Linked DNA regions of Coturnix japonica. The protein of the gene in region 1 purifies or fractionates together with the protein of each later gene. This does not show direct contact. Links are inferred from orthologs where the notes say so. Each region holds a gene or a part of one and is shown in the gene's direction. Other genes may lie near its edges.

What was found. Proteins that work in one complex are often made in the same cells at the same time.
Region 2: the proteins of SEC13 (region 1) and KLHL12 purify together in Homo sapiens (affinity purification with mass spectrometry; 3 studies listed by BioGRID and IntAct, with this or other methods). This does not show direct contact. The link is inferred for Coturnix japonica from reciprocal best matches to the Homo sapiens genes SEC13 and KLHL12.
Region 3: the proteins of SEC13 (region 1) and NUP85 purify together in Homo sapiens (affinity purification with mass spectrometry; 5 studies listed by BioGRID and IntAct, counting the BioPlex papers as one, with this or other methods). This does not show direct contact. The link is inferred for Coturnix japonica from reciprocal best matches to the Homo sapiens genes SEC13 and NUP85.

What each region holds. Positions count from the first base shown.
Region 1 is NC_029527.1:16,778,971-16,783,084, reverse strand, and holds the end of SEC13 (protein SEC13 homolog), read left to right. Parts: intron 1-263; coding exon 264-397; intron 398-1,104; coding exon 1,105-1,238; intron 1,239-1,463; coding exon 1,464-1,584; intron 1,585-1,783; coding exon 1,784-1,930; intron 1,931-2,351; coding exon 2,352-2,462; 3' UTR 2,463-3,164; downstream 3,165-4,114. UniProt on the Homo sapiens protein: Functions as a component of the nuclear pore complex (NPC) and the COPII coat. At the endoplasmic reticulum, SEC13 is involved in the biogenesis of COPII-coated vesicles.
Region 2 is NC_029541.1:898,916-903,907, forward strand, and holds part of KLHL12 (kelch-like protein 12), read left to right. Parts: intron 1-852; coding exon 853-1,006; intron 1,007-1,653; coding exon 1,654-1,871; intron 1,872-3,505; coding exon 3,506-3,655; intron 3,656-4,267; coding exon 4,268-4,382; intron 4,383-4,992. UniProt on the Homo sapiens protein: Substrate-specific adapter of a BCR (BTB-CUL3-RBX1) E3 ubiquitin ligase complex that acts as a negative regulator of Wnt signaling pathway and ER-Golgi transport.
Region 3 is NC_029533.1:9,353,841-9,359,370, forward strand, and holds the start of NUP85 (nuclear pore complex protein Nup85), read left to right. Parts: upstream 1-2,313; 5' UTR 2,314-2,412; coding exon 2,413-2,445; intron 2,446-2,531; coding exon 2,532-2,827; intron 2,828-3,002; coding exon 3,003-3,073; intron 3,074-3,550; coding exon 3,551-3,594; intron 3,595-4,021; coding exon 4,022-4,091; intron 4,092-4,285; exon of another isoform or gene 4,286-4,445; coding exon 4,446-4,567; exon of another isoform or gene 4,568-5,035; coding exon 5,036-5,170; exon of another isoform or gene 5,171-5,530. UniProt on the Homo sapiens protein: Essential component of the nuclear pore complex (NPC) that seems to be required for NPC assembly and maintenance. As part of the NPC Nup107-160 subcomplex plays a role in RNA export and in tethering NUP96/Nup98 and NUP153 to the nucleus.

The sequences.
Region 1 (4,114 bases):
CTGATACCTCTTCGCTGTTGCACAGGACAGTCAAGAGGATTTTATCTCACTGAAAGTGCTGTTCTGGTGGTCTGCTACAACTAGAGGCAGTTTTCCATCATACGATAAACTGTGGTAATTGTCTGCTGAAATTCAGGAATGCAAAGACTCTTCTTAGCTTGCAAAGCTGCTCGCTTTTAGTGACCATTCACTGGTACTAGTCAGTGATTGGGTTAAGCAGTTTTAGCACTGTGTTGTAACCCAGTCTGTCTCATCCCTCACAGTGAATTCTGTCTGCTGGGCACCACATGACTATGGACTGATCTTGGCCTGTGGGAGCTCTGATGGCGCCATTTCATTACTGAGCTACACTGGTGATGGGCAGTGGGAGGTGAAAAAGATCAGCAACGCACACACTGTAAGTTGGAGCCATGGATGAGGATTGAGCTGATGCTTCAGAGTGTGCAGACTAAATAAATACTGAAATACAATTAAATATTGTGAATTGTTCTCCAAAACCGAAAAATAACTTGTTTTAAATAAATCTAAAGTAAGAAAGTATGTTTTATAGTAAGTGAAGTGAAGTAGAAAATAAGAGGTGAAAGCCATTAAAGAGCACTGATAGTACATCTGATCATGACTGTTAAACACAGTGCTGGAAGTGACATAGTGGGAAATGGCTTTGATACTCAGAATACCTCGTACAACCTGGCTGTGAGTAAACTTCAACAAGAAGCTGGAAAAACTGCAGGGAAAAACTCGTGGTTTTCCCACAGCAGTGGGACTTCTTGTTTAAACAAAACTTGACAGCCATCTAAGCAGATAATGATGGTGGCTTGCATTAAAAGAAAACGGAGCTGTGGGCACACAGATTCTTTCTGCATTCCTCACTCTTAGCAACAGCATACATCTTGCACCTCTGCTTTTTTTTTTTTTAATCTATCTCCACTGTATACATTTCCAAAATGATATTTGCCTGTAAGACAGTTACTTGGCTACATAACACTTCCTGAATAAATGTCCAGTCAAGAATAGAACAATGTTTGGAGTTCTTATCCATCCAGCATAGATGTCCTTTGCTCCCTCCACAGCTTTTAGTAATGACCTTATTTTTTCCTTGCATAGATCGGATGTAATGCAGTTAGCTGGGCTCCTGCTGTTGTACCAGGCAGCCTCATAGAGCAACCGTCTGGTCAGAAACCAAACTATATCAAAAGATTTGCATCTGGTGGTTGTGACAACCTTGTCAAGATCTGGAAGTAAGTGCTCTCTTACCAGGCTTAAGAACTTCATTCTTTATGGTTTCTGAATGTCTGTATTAGCACCTTGAATTATACTTCAGGCATCTATATGCTTTCATCTTTAACTATCTTTTACTATTTTAGAAAAGCACTTTAAAAATAGAAACAACTTAATGTCTTAGAAACTCTCATAGCAATTCGTGTGAGATCTGCTTAATCTTATCTGTGTAAATATGTTTTCAGAGAAGAAGATGGTCAGTGGAAAGAAGAGCAGAAGCTGGAGGCACACAGTGACTGGGTCCGAGATGTAGCCTGGGCTCCATCCATAGGCTTGCCAACAAGTACTATTGCTAGCTGTTCACAGGTGAGACTTAGGTAGGAGTGAGCTGTACTTACGCCTTGCTTTTGGCTATAGAAAGGAAAAAGACCGTCATGTACAGTGAATATGCAAATAGACACATTTAGAGTTCATGCCTGTGTAAGTGCAGTCATCATTGGCAATGCAGACAAGCTTGGTTTTTGTATTACTAACTCATGGTAGCCAATTCTGTTTGTTGTTATAGGATGGCAGAGTGTTTATCTGGACGTGTGATGATGCCTCTGGAAATTCATGGTCACCAAAATTGCTGCACAAGTTCAATGATGTTGTTTGGCATGTGAGTTGGTCCATTACTGCAAATATACTCGCAGTGTCTGGAGGAGACAATAAAGTGAGTACTGCAGCCTCAGTTTGCTCTTGCATGTCATATTTTCACTTTTGTTGTTTTGAGTTAAGACTTTTAAAGACTTCCCTTTGATGCAGTGGTGTTTTTTTGTGGTTATTTATTTATTTACCTAAAGGGGAGGAAGACTCCAACCTCTGGCAAACTACATGCACTGCATTCTTAGTCCTGATTGGAAATGTAGGCTTAATTTTATTTTGTAAGGATATTACCATTGGAATTAATTCTTACTCCCTTTATTGCTGGATAATGATTTAGCAAACAGCAATAAATAATTTGATGCTTGAAAGAACTCTGACACACTGCTATACTTATAGACCATTACCATCTTAGTGATGCAATCATTACAAAGAAAATGAGAAACTGAGAATGTGTAAGACTTAACATCTTTTCCTGCTCTGTTTTTGAGGTCACGCTGTGGAAGGAGTCAGTAGATGGGTTGTGGGCATGCATCAGCGATGTCAACAAGGGCCAAGGAGGAGTGTCTGCCATTACAGAAGGGCAGCAGAATGAGCAGTGATGAGGACTGACCAGTCCAGCTGCTGGAAGTGATGGCTATACCTGATTTGCAATGTTTCTTGAATCAGATGAGAACTGGTTTTATCCAAGCTGGACGTGAACATGGGAAATAATTAGCCAATTCTATGAGCAATCTTAAACAATACTGGGGGGCTACATTGTGTAGAAAATCAGCCTTACTTGACATTCCCTTAAATTAAAGATGAAGAGAGGAGCAAAGTATTGTGCCTTGTGCTACTCCCTAACACAGTAAAAACTGTAACCTGCCTTCTAGTTTAGGAGTTAGATTTAATTGGATACACTTCAAGCACTTGAGCAGGAACAGGAGGAGGCAGGCAATGAAAGTGCTCGTGTGTGAAACCATCTGTGTAACCCATCTGGCCACTCAAAGGCCAAAACTACTTCAAGTGATGGAGCAGGCTGGTGGAGTCAGCAGTAGCCAGTGTTCTGGTAGTACTGAAATGGTGTGTGGGTTTCCCTGAAAGTAATATGCTCAGATACATGAAAATCTCAGTGCATTCCCAAAGATGAAAAAGAGTAGCAGAATGCATATCTATTTTGCTTTACGCTAATCTCAAACTTGTTTATTTAAAGAACATCAACAAATGAAAATACAATTTGAAGACTTTTTTTTTTTAGCCACAATTCTATACTGTACCTCAGGTTTTTGTTTAGACAATAAAATAAAGTCTTATTGGTTAAAGTCTGGTGTGCTGTATTTGGAAATCTTTCACAGGGGGCCTTATTGGGGTTTTCTGTAGTCTACCTTGACAGATGCCTTAGTGTGGCTCTCATGTATGGTATTTAGCTTCGTAAGGGCTAATAAGTGCCAAGTCTAGCCAGAGTCCACAGTATACCATGACAATGCAGGGGACTTCTGTTAGGACCCAGAAGCTCTCCAGTGGTTCTTATTATTATCCACTGCCTACTTTCTTTGTGCTCCTTGGTGTTCTCTACCAGCAGGCTCTCAGACAAAAGTCAAGATGGTGATCTAATTCTACCAGAACTTCTTAACATAGCTCTGTTGCAGAGGGCATTTGTTCTCAGCTGCCCTACGACCCTCAATCCTACCACTGAAGATTTGTGAGCTGTAGCACAGAAGAAATCCCACAGATCAGCCGCATCATTCAAGTCTAGCTAGAACACAAGTAACAGGTGTAAATTTGTCATCCTTTACTGTATGTTCCCACTTCGTTCCTTCTGTTCCTGAGGGTTTGAAGAATATCCTCACAGGATGCTTTCTAGAGCCCCAGACATCGCTGCAACTATTCACTGACATCTTCAAGGTGCATTATTTCATTTTCAAAGTAACAGAAATGATGTTTCTAGGACACATCTTTGTTTTCAGTCCTTCAGCAAAGAACAAAATTTGATAGAACAGAACCCAGGAGAGAACGTAGACAAGAGGAAGCACACTTAGGGGCAAACACGAGACACGGCTGTTACTGTAGGCCAGGAATACAGTTCCACTTCTTTTCTGTTACAGCACACCAGATAACAGTGGAAGGGCTCAGGACTTTCAAAAAAATAGCCATTACAGGCACTAGTTTTTAGAAGGAATGATGTTAATGCCACAGCAGAAAAATAAAACAAGAAACACACGATTCCCTGCACAACTTCATTATGCGTAGACAGGAACTCAGCAACAGATGT
Region 2 (4,992 bases), on another chromosome or scaffold:
CGATGCTTTGATCACACGTTCTCCTCGCTGAGTGTGCCCACAACCAGCTTCAGTCTCATTCTTGGCAAGAAAAGTGAGGGGCTTTCATCTGAGCCGTGCTTGCACTGATATGCGCTGCTGCTTCCAAAGAGGTTGGTTTTGCACTGCGCTGCATGGAGACGGCCTCCTGTCGGGGTCCACCTGTGCTGATGAGCTCCCATGGGGTGCTGCCCCCCAGGTGCTGTTCCTGCAGCTGCTGCTTGGTGAGGGTGTCAGCTCTGCACATGGAGGGTTCTCACGCAGTGCACTGATCCCACAGGTTGGCTCAGAGGGTGGTGGGCTTCAGAGAAAGTAATTGTTCCAAAATGACACATCACAGAGCTGACAAAACAGCACAGGGATGAAGTCAGCACTGCTTAAATGCCATCGTTGCATACGCTGATTTTACTTTCTAATATTGAAGTTCAGCTCCGGTTTAACTCTGAATTTCCTGGGCTGCAGATGGTCATTCTTAGTAGGGACTTTCACCATGAGCTCGTAGGGTGGATGGGTGGAACGGTGATGAAAGCTTTGGGTGTGGGCTGGGGAGAGCTGGGTGTAGAGCAGAGCAGTGAGGGCACTGTATGCCACACATGGCCCCACACACACTGCCCTGGAACTGCTCCTTCTGCACAGCTCAGGGTCCCTGCATGGTGCAGGCAGGCACCTCATATGAACAACATGCTCAGGGCTCAGTGTGTGCATTTTGCAGTGCACTTGGAACCTCTTCCACACACGTAACAAACTCTGCTTTGCTCTGAGGCTCTGCTGAGCACTGGTGTCTTTTTGACCAGATTAGTGGAAAATAAACTCTGTTTCCTTTATGATTTACAGCTCTCAGAGAAAGACAAACCCTACGTGGACATCCAGGGGCTGACAGCTTCCACCATGGAAATCCTGCTGGATTTTGTGTACACAGAAACTGTTCATGTGACGGTAGAGAACGTCCAGGAGCTGCTCCCAGCAGCATGTCTGCTGCAGCTGAAAGGTAATGCTGGGTGTTGGTGCACACTGCACGGCTGCTGCTCAGCAGAGGTTTGCTGTGTCCACCCATGACAGCAGTGCCTCTGTGCTGTGCTCAGTCTGGGCCTTGGAGCCATAACACCTTGTGTCAAACTCCTCTTGTCCTTTGCACGCTGATCTTGGTGTAGCAGAGCTGCCCCATCTAGAAAAAGAGACACGGGATGGATTCTTTTATCCGTGCTTTGTGCTACTTCATGTCTGCGTGGCAGTGCCTGGGGGGGGGGAGCTGACAGTAATAAGCAAAGCCCTGGTGTCGTTTGGCATTGCCAGGTTAGCGTGGCTGCTCACAGCTGGGCAATCCCATGGCACATCCACTTCTGCTTTAGGAGCTGCAAAGTCAGTGCAGCTCACAGTTACCAGTGTCAGATTTAACCTGGGGGAGGAGGGGGTTAAACACAGCAGGCACAAACAGCACAAGCAGCCGTCCTGCTGCTCAGCATTACTGTGCCCCTCGGAAGAGACATTGCATGTGTGTGCTTGAGTGGTGTTATTCCACTGCTGTTCAGTCAGTCTGTCCTTATTGTTTCCAACTTCCCTGTACTGAAGCCCTTTCCCGAGCAGAGGGCTGACAGGATGTGTTCAGTGCTCATTCACCCCTCCGATTTTCCATAGGTGTGAAACAAGCTTGCTGTGAGTTTCTAGAAAGCCAGCTGGATCCATCAAATTGTTTGGGCATTCGGGATTTTGCTGAGACACACAATTGTGTTGATCTAATGCAAGCTGCAGAGGTCTTCAGCCAGAAACATTTTCCAGAGGTGGTTCAGCATGAAGAGTTTATCCTCTTAAATCAAGAAGAGGTTGAAAAGCTCATCAAGTGTGATGAAATTCAGGTAAAACCTGAACGTACCATTACTCTGCAAAGCATTGGACGTAAAGCATTGAAAGCTGTTGGAAACCAGCCCGTAGTGCTCAGGAGGGACTCACCCATCCTTCCCCAGCTGGGAGTTCGCTTTCCAGGAAGGTTCTCCTCATTCCTTTGGCCCCATAACCTCAAACCAATGGGTGATGTGCAGGCTGTGTGTCTGAGCGTGTTGTCTCGGGGCTGCACATCACTACCTCCATGTTCCCTCTCCTCCCCCTCTCCCCGGAGGAGGTTGCAGCCATGCGTTGTCTCGGTGCCCACGTTGCAGAAACGCCCACAGGACTTTAACTTGTTTGCAGACCGTTGTGGTGTTACTCAGCAGCACGAGCAGTGCATGTGTCGTTCCCAGCATGCAGCCCTTCTGCTTGCACAGGGTGCAGAGCGGGGCTGCTAGACACTGCTTCAGGCGGTTACATGAAGGTGTTTCTGCCTCTGAATTTTGGTACGGACTGTGTTCACTCAGAGCTGGATTCTGGAGGTGTTACTGCATGGCTGGGAACCGTCTGATCCTGTTTGGTTTTTTACCCAAGTTTTCTCTGAGTGTGTATTTAGTTGGGAACTGAAATAAGGTGAATATTGCCTGAGAATAGGAAGGGGGCAGTTCTGTGTTGTTAAGCTGGACTTCAACAAGAGATGGTGTTTGCTTCAGCCCTAAAAGAAGTGATGGAGTCGTTACTCAGAGCTCACAGCAGTGTGAGCTCCTTGGAGCAGGTTGTGTCATTGGTACCTCCTGAGTTCCTCAGAGCCCCTCGAAGGGGTGACCAGAGGAGAGATGTGGATGTGTGCTTTGAAAGGCTGCAGCAGAAGTGGCCTTTGGCCAAGCTGATGTCATTAACAAACCTTGGAAAGGAGCACGCAGGGCGGCAGTGAGGGCTGCATGCAGGTGGTGCTCAGAGCAGGGGAGGGCTGAGGGCGCTGGGTGATCACAGCAGTGTCCTTAGTGCTGAGGTTTGATCTGGGTGGGTTGTGGTGAGAGCTTCTGGGCAGCCAGGGATCCCAGGGCTGGGAATGCTTTGTGTTGGAAGGGATCGTCCCCCAATCCCTTCCACCTCCTACACCACCTGCCCAGCAGCACTGATGGGGATGGAGCATCCCCTGCTCCTCCAGACTGTGTGTTTTGCTGCCTCACCTCTCTTGTGGTGAAGAATTTCACTGCAATTACACCTAATCTAAACCCGCTCTCTTTTAATTTAAAACTATCACCTGCAGGCCCAATAAAAAGGTCTCTCCTCATCTTTTTTGATGAGCTCTCTTTAATTATTGAAAGGCTGCTGTGAGGTTGCCCTTCCCCACGTGGAAGGAGCACAGCCCCTCAGCCCATCCCTGCAGGAGGTGCTTTGTCCTCTGAGTGTCACTGTGGGCTCTGGGCCCTCCATGTCCTCATGCTCAAGGAGCCCAAAGAGCGGGGCAGAGGGGCAGAACCTGCTCCCACACTGCCTGCTGGGCTCCTGTCAGTGCAGCCCTGGCTGTGATGCTGCTGCCTGGTTTCTCACCCACAGCAGACTCCCATCTGTGCTCTCCAGCTGCTGCTGGGCACAGAGCTGTCCGTTTAGCCACAGGCTGCTGCTCTCCTGTCTGAGCAGTGTGTCCCTCTTCCTGCAGGTGGACTCAGAAGAACCTGTATTTGAGGCTGTTATAAACTGGGTGAAGCACTCAAAGAAGGACCGGGAGGCGTCGCTGCCGGAGCTGCTGCAGTATGTGCGAATGCCGCTCCTCACCCCGCGCTACATCACAGACGTTATCGACACCGAGGTATGGGTAGAAGCAAACCAAGATGTGGATGATGAGATCTTTAAGCTTTTGCAATGGAAGTTTTAATTTCAAACAATCAATGCTGATCCAGTGCAAGGTTTGGCAGCAGGGCACTGTGAATTCGGCCTTGGTGTGGTGCAGCAGCACATGGTATTGAACACCCACAGGGAACTGGATGTGGAGCTGCAGCGGGGGGTTGGCCCAGGCCCAGCTGGGGAACAAGGAGGACATGAGGCAATGCTTAGGGCTGCTGTGCCCACAGCTGCTTCTGGAGGAGACTTCCCTGTTCTGAGTTCCGCCCATAGCAGGGTGTTCCATACAGAGCAGCGCAGTTTGGGCTTTGCTCCATGCTGTGTCTCTGGCAGTCACATATTGAGCTGACGCTGTGGGGCAGACCCAGCCAGGCCCACTCAGCCTTTGCTCCCTCCTCAATTGGGTTTCCACTGGCTAACATGTAGCAGAATCCTATTTTCCTCAGTTTTCCAGTGTAGGGTATTTTATCCTGTAATCTGCAGTGCCACGAGAGATGAGCTGTATGAGAACAGTCCCATGGCATCTCTGGGGGGATCTTAGCACAGACCACTGGTATCAGTGACTGCTGTCTTTCTGCAGCCGTTCATCCGATGCAGTCTGCAGTGCAGAGACCTCGTCGATGAAGCAAAGAAATTCCATCTCCGTCCTGAGCTCCGGAGCCAGATGCAGGGACCCAGGACCAGAGCCCGTCTGGGTGAGTGGTGTGGAGGTGCCGGGAGTAGCTGTGGGACCTGCAGGAGCTGTGTGTGCCATGCAGTGCTGTGGTGCTCTGCAACAAAGACTTCTTGATCTGCAGTGCACAGTGGCATAGAAGGGGGACAGCAGTGCAGGACAGGGTGGCTTGTTAACGAGTGGCAGCACAGGGAGTAGCTGGTTGCCCTGCTCCTGTGTTGGTGCTCCCAGATGGGTTTGTCTGAGCATGCAGCCGTCCCAGGAGTGTGGGCAGAGTTTCTAAAAGGTGGTTATCAGTGTCAGAAATTCACAGGGTGAGGTGAGAGATGGCAGCACTGGAGGGAAGATGGAATGGGGAACGTGGGAGGGTGAAGGGCAGCTGGGAGGTGGGCAGGTTGGTTTGTTGAGAGGCATGGTGAGTAATTTCTGTCCTGAAGGCAGTGCGGTGTGCTTCGACCTCCAACATAGTCCACCCACAGCACAGCTCCTGTTTTTCCAGGAACACCCCACATCAGTGCTCAGGGACATCCACTTCAGCTCAAGCCACCATTTACAGAGAGGCATTGTGCTCTGTTCTGGGTCGAAATGCCTCAGCTGATAAAGGGAATGTCACAAATTCACATCATTATCCA
Region 3 (5,530 bases), on another chromosome or scaffold:
GCCATGGGGGGGATGGCACACTGGGAACTACAAAAGGCCCATTCCTGCAGTCCAGGCTGCAGCAGAGGGGGCAAAGGCAAAGCTTTATTTCTCTCTGAGCTCCTCCTTTTTAACACACAGAGTTTGAAGAGATGTGAATGGGGAAGTGCCACAGCTAAAATTCCACAGAAATTCCAGCTCTGGGGAAAAAAAAAATAATCCTACGTTTCTCAAATATTTCTGTGCCTCGTTCTACTCTTGCACAGCAGTTTTATACAGAAATGTGACTTATCCAAATCCTGCAGAGCACTTATGCTTAATTCTCCGCTCTTGTCTGAAGAGGGCAGGGAACTGGGCATTGAACCCACATTCCCTTTCACACCAAGCCTTCAAGAGATGAAGATTTTTAAGATAAAACGGCTGCAGGCAGAGTGTATGTGCCAGTCCACATTAGTGAGCACAAGCCTAAAAAGCAACTCCAGACCCTTTGAAACTTTACTGCTTTACAATTAGTTCAATGCAAAAATGGCAAGACAGCAGTTACTAGAGCTATAACCAAGGGAGTACAGCTAAGGCTCCTTTGTCATCCAAATTGTCACTCAAATTCCAGGAAGAAAATGCTGACCCCAGCGTGGTGCTGGAAAGCAGCGTTCCTTTATTTCCTTTATTCCTCACCACACTTACCAGGTGACTTAACAAACACGGGTGACCTAACAAACACGTGTGCTCTCTCAGAGTTCAGGTTCAGCATTTAAGCAGTTAAGACATACATTTCATTTTTCCAAGAACGCGTTAATTTATGTTAATGCTCCTTTGTGTGTGCACAGTTGCATTTAGTGGTCGCACGCCCACTTACTTTATCCCCATTTTTCCACCCTTAGCTTCATCACAGACACTTCTGGCTGACCTGTAGCTGTTCTTCCCTAACCTGCAAACCCCTATTGCTTGTTAGGCCAGAACGAGCAACTTCCAAAACAGTTCTGTGACAATTTGAGGCACACGTCCTTGCCCCGGTGAAACGCAAAGACAAGGAGTCTGTTATTCCTGTGAAGCACAATTAAGAGAAAACGAGGCTGTTCACTCACCAAGCAAACTGAAAGTTTTAGAACTAGCACTCAATGATTCCTTTGGCTAAACTTGTACACTGGCCCTTAAACTAATATATGGGATTCCTATTGCTAAGGCAGTCAGCCTACAGCACCTTCTCAGCCTGAACCCTGAAGGGGCGAGTGGCTTATTCGGATTTTGCTCTTCATTAATACTAGTGTAGCACCAGGAGCAGAAAAGCATTGCCGAGGTGATTGCCTGTCTCATGCTTCCCCTTTCACGATGCTTATCCTCCTTGCCTTCTCCCAAGCTATGAAATTACTTTCCAACCTTCTATTTTGTAACCCTTTATTCCCTTCCTCATTAGACCTCAAAGTTTTGCTGCTTTCTCCCATCCCCAGAAAACAGTCGTGTTCTTTTGGCTGAACCCAGAGCTGTAGCTCTCAAGTCTTTTTGAACACTGTGTACTTCCACGCTGCCATTCTGGTTGTAATTCGATTCAGTTACAGACTGGTCAGGCACAAGAGCCTTTCTGAGCCAGAGTGCAGGCTCATCTCTCTCCTAGATACACGCAGACCTCCAGCCAACCTTCCAAGAAGGACTAAGACACTGCAAACTAAACTTCACCTCTGCCAAGGTCATTTCCCTCGGCAAAAGTCACTTTCTCAAGGGCAGCAGGAGCTGCAGCCATGAAAAGCTACTGGCGTTTTTAGTCAGTGAGCAGAGGGGCTGTGTCCGTCAGCACAAAGCAGGAAAGGAGCTGCAGCTTTACATCAGCTTGTAGTTTTTCAGTCTTTGCACTGGATGGGATCCTGAGGCAGGAGGACACTGTCCCATTCCTACACCCTCACCTCAGACATCAAAACATCCTTCAACACAACGACGAAAAGGAAAATAAGAGCAGTGAGACCAACAGACACTGCCCAGGGCTCGGGCCTCTCAGCAGCGCTGGTTCAGGCTGAGCAGCACCTGCCTTTTTACTGCCCGTTACAGAGCGACCGCGGCGGGACAGCGGGACACGGCGGGACAGCGGGACACGGCGGGACAGACAGGTGGACACGACACAGCTCCGCTCCGCTCCTGCCGCGTCCCCCCCGCCCCGCTCTGCCATTACAGCGGCCCGTCCTCTCCTCCCCTCCCCTCCTCGCGTCCTCCCCCGTCCCGCCCCGCCGGGGCCTTCAATGCCGGCGCTGTTTCCGGGGCGACCGGCCGCGCCTGCCCCGAAGTGTCGGAGCCCCGTCGGTCCCGAGGGCCCGAAGCGGAGCAGCCCGCAGGGAGCCTCGCTGGCTGCCGGCTGCGGGTAACGCTGCGGAGCTCCGCGGGGCGTTGGGCAGCGGGGCGGGCAGCCGCCAGGGGCCTCAGCGCGGGCGGGAGCGCGGCGTGGCCATGGAGGAGCCCGAGACGGAGCCGCCGCTGACGGTCAGGGCCGGACCGCCCGTCCCCGTCCCTTCCTTTCCCTTCCCTTTCCTTACCTTCGCCCCCCGCTCTCCTCTCCCTTCCCGCAGGTGGTGCCGGGCGCCGACCCGGCCCGAGCTCAGCTGTGCTTCGAGTGGGGCCCCGCCGAGATGCTGCTGTGCGAGACGCTGTTCGGCCGGGGCGGCAGCGCGGGGCCGGGGCCGGCGGGATGCGGCGCTGCGGGCGGCGGGGACGGAGCGGCGGGTCCGTCGCGCGTGTTCGTGGTGCGCAGGGATCAGGACATCTACATGGAGACGCTGCGGAAGCTTTTCAACGAGTCCCACGGCATCTTCGTGGGGCTGCAGCGCTGCGAGGAGGAGCGGGCTGCCAGGGCGAGGAACGCGCAGTGAGTGGGGCCGGAACAGCCTCCTTTTGGGTGCTGAACAGTGCGTGGGACCCTGCACAGCACGGGCAGCACCCACCAGGCTGACCCTGGTTCTGGAAGCATCCACGGATGCACAGAAAAGGGACCGTAACCGAAGCAGTATCTCTCTGTAAACGATCCTTTTTGTGTTTGGCAGATTAGTCCAAGTGAGTAAAAACTACCGCTCGGTCATAAGAGCCTGCATGGAGGACATGCACCAGGCTGCCAGTAAGTCTGTTGCACTGCAGTAAAAAGATGCTACTTGTGATGATAAAAATAAGATTTCTCTTGGAAGTTGCTATAGCTACTGAAAAACAGCCCATATAAACTTCAGTAATTAACAGGATTCCATCTTCCATCATTGAGATTTCCATGTTGGTTCATCATCTCGTAACTGATTTTGGGAAGACTTGCAGTATTTTCATGTCATGACTTGTGGTTTTGTGGAAAAATGAGTCAAATTCACCAGCTTGCTCCTCTGAAACAGTGAGAGGACTCACTGTGTCTTAACATCCTTGTCCTGTAAATATACCAGATTTATAAAGAGTTCTGCAGGGTGAGCTGAGCTGTATCAGCTGTGCACACATCTGGGGCTGTACCCAGCGAGCGATCAAGGACTGTATGAATGAGCTCAGAAAGTTTTGTTGTACCTGTAAATATGCTGCTTTTTATGCTGCTTTTTGACTTGGTGTATTTTTCGCTCAGTTTCAGCCCGGGACTCTGCCCTGCACAACCAGTACAGCATTCAGGTAACGTACAGTCACATCCACGTAGTTGCATGAATATTGGTTAGTAAAGCCACAAAGACCAACACCGTGGCTGTAGTTTGTTGTTTGAACAGCACTGATGTTGCTTAGTTTGCCTTTAGTTCCTTCTGTGCTCTCTAACTCTCAGGAGATTAAAAAGGCTTCAATTAACACTTTCTGCACTGTTCTGCATTTCCCTGAGGAGCGATTACTGTTGCATTTCAATACACAAACCACCGATATTTTCTAAAATGGATGTGTATAGAGAAGTTATGGCCTGTTTCTGTCTTTTGATTATCTCTGGAATATCAATGTGACATTTCTCTTGTCTACAAAAACCCATCTCTGTGGGCAGCACATTCAGCTGTGCACTTAAAATTAAATAACAGGAACAATTATGACCCTGAAACGCAGCTCTGCTTTTTGTCAGGTTTCTATTCTCTCTGCCATGGAGCTGATCTGGAATCTGTGTGAGATTCTGTTTGTTGAAGCAGCGCCAGGTGAGCAGTGAACAGTTCTGATGTTAAGCCTGAAAGTGGTCTTGTTTGCGTAATAATCGTTTAAAATGTAGACAGCGTGCGTGGTGCTACATCTTAATGCTTACTGTGGAGTGTATGACAAGCAGCACCGAATTCTGATACCTTTTCTGCCTCAGTAAATTGCATTTTTTTGTATTAAATTATATCAGGATGCATTCTACTTTACACTGGCTTATTTATTTATTTCTCACAGAAGCATAATAAACAAAAACTTGTTCCCAGTTTATTTGACCTTAAAGCATAAGAACCTTCTTAAATTAACTGCCTGGGGACAAACAGTTTGGGAACTAACAGTGATACCTTCTCTGTGTAAAGCTGGTCCTCTCCTGCTTCGTCTCCTTGACTGGGTTCAGCTTCACATCTGTGATGTAGACAACATGGTCCGTGAAGTTCTGAGCAGCGAAAATCCATCAAAACACAAACTCTTCTGGAACGTGGTGAGTACAGCCCCCTGTCAGACGTTTAGATGAAGTCGTGCCTGTGTGTCTCGCATTCCTCTTCTCAGCACTGTAGCACATCTCAGAAACTGATACCTGAGATGCTGCTTCTGTCTTTGTAGTTTTAAGATAAAGCATTGTCAAGGTCATAGAATCACTCAGGTTGGAAAAGACCCGAAGGGTCATCAAGTCCAACTACAGCCTAACCATGCTACCCTACCTACCCAACAGCCCTCCGCTAAATCATGTCCCCGAGCACCACATCCAAATGGCTTTTAAACACATCCAGGGACAGTGACTCAACCACCATCCAATTTCATGATTCACAGAGGTTGTATATTCAAATTAGCAGGGCCTAGAGTTGAAATCTTGTAACTCTACTTGGCTTTCTTGAAGATTCTCCTGATATTCCACCTGGGTGCGTGGTAGCCCTGCACAGCTTGGTACTCACAGACGTGCTTTCTGCAGGTGGATATCTTCGTACTGCAAGGCCGAATGGATGAAGCACGGCACTTGCTCTCCAAGGAAGCCACTGCAAATCCCGCATCGATGAACATGTACAAAATCCTGGATGACTTGATGAAGAAGATGCCTGTGCCCAGTGTATGTCCAAAGCAGATCGGTTTTTTCCACTGTTTTTTTTTTTTTCCTTTAGTTCCATTAAGAAAGGAGATAAGAGTGAAAACAGAACTAGTCCAGTCTGTTTCACCTCTGCTGCGGCTCCTGTAACATCACAGGCCGTTGACCATTAAAACATGTGTCTTAATCCTTTACAGTAAAAAATACTTGTCTCAGTTACCCAAGAGACCCAAGTACACAGCTGAAAATCTGTTAGGTGGTAAAGAAACATAATCAGAAGTGATGTTTTTGTAGCAAGATTCATTGCTGGGTTACCTGAAACTGATCCTCTTGAGAACTTACAGGGAAGTCTTAGAAGATCTTACCTGCAGGTTTTCTTCTGTT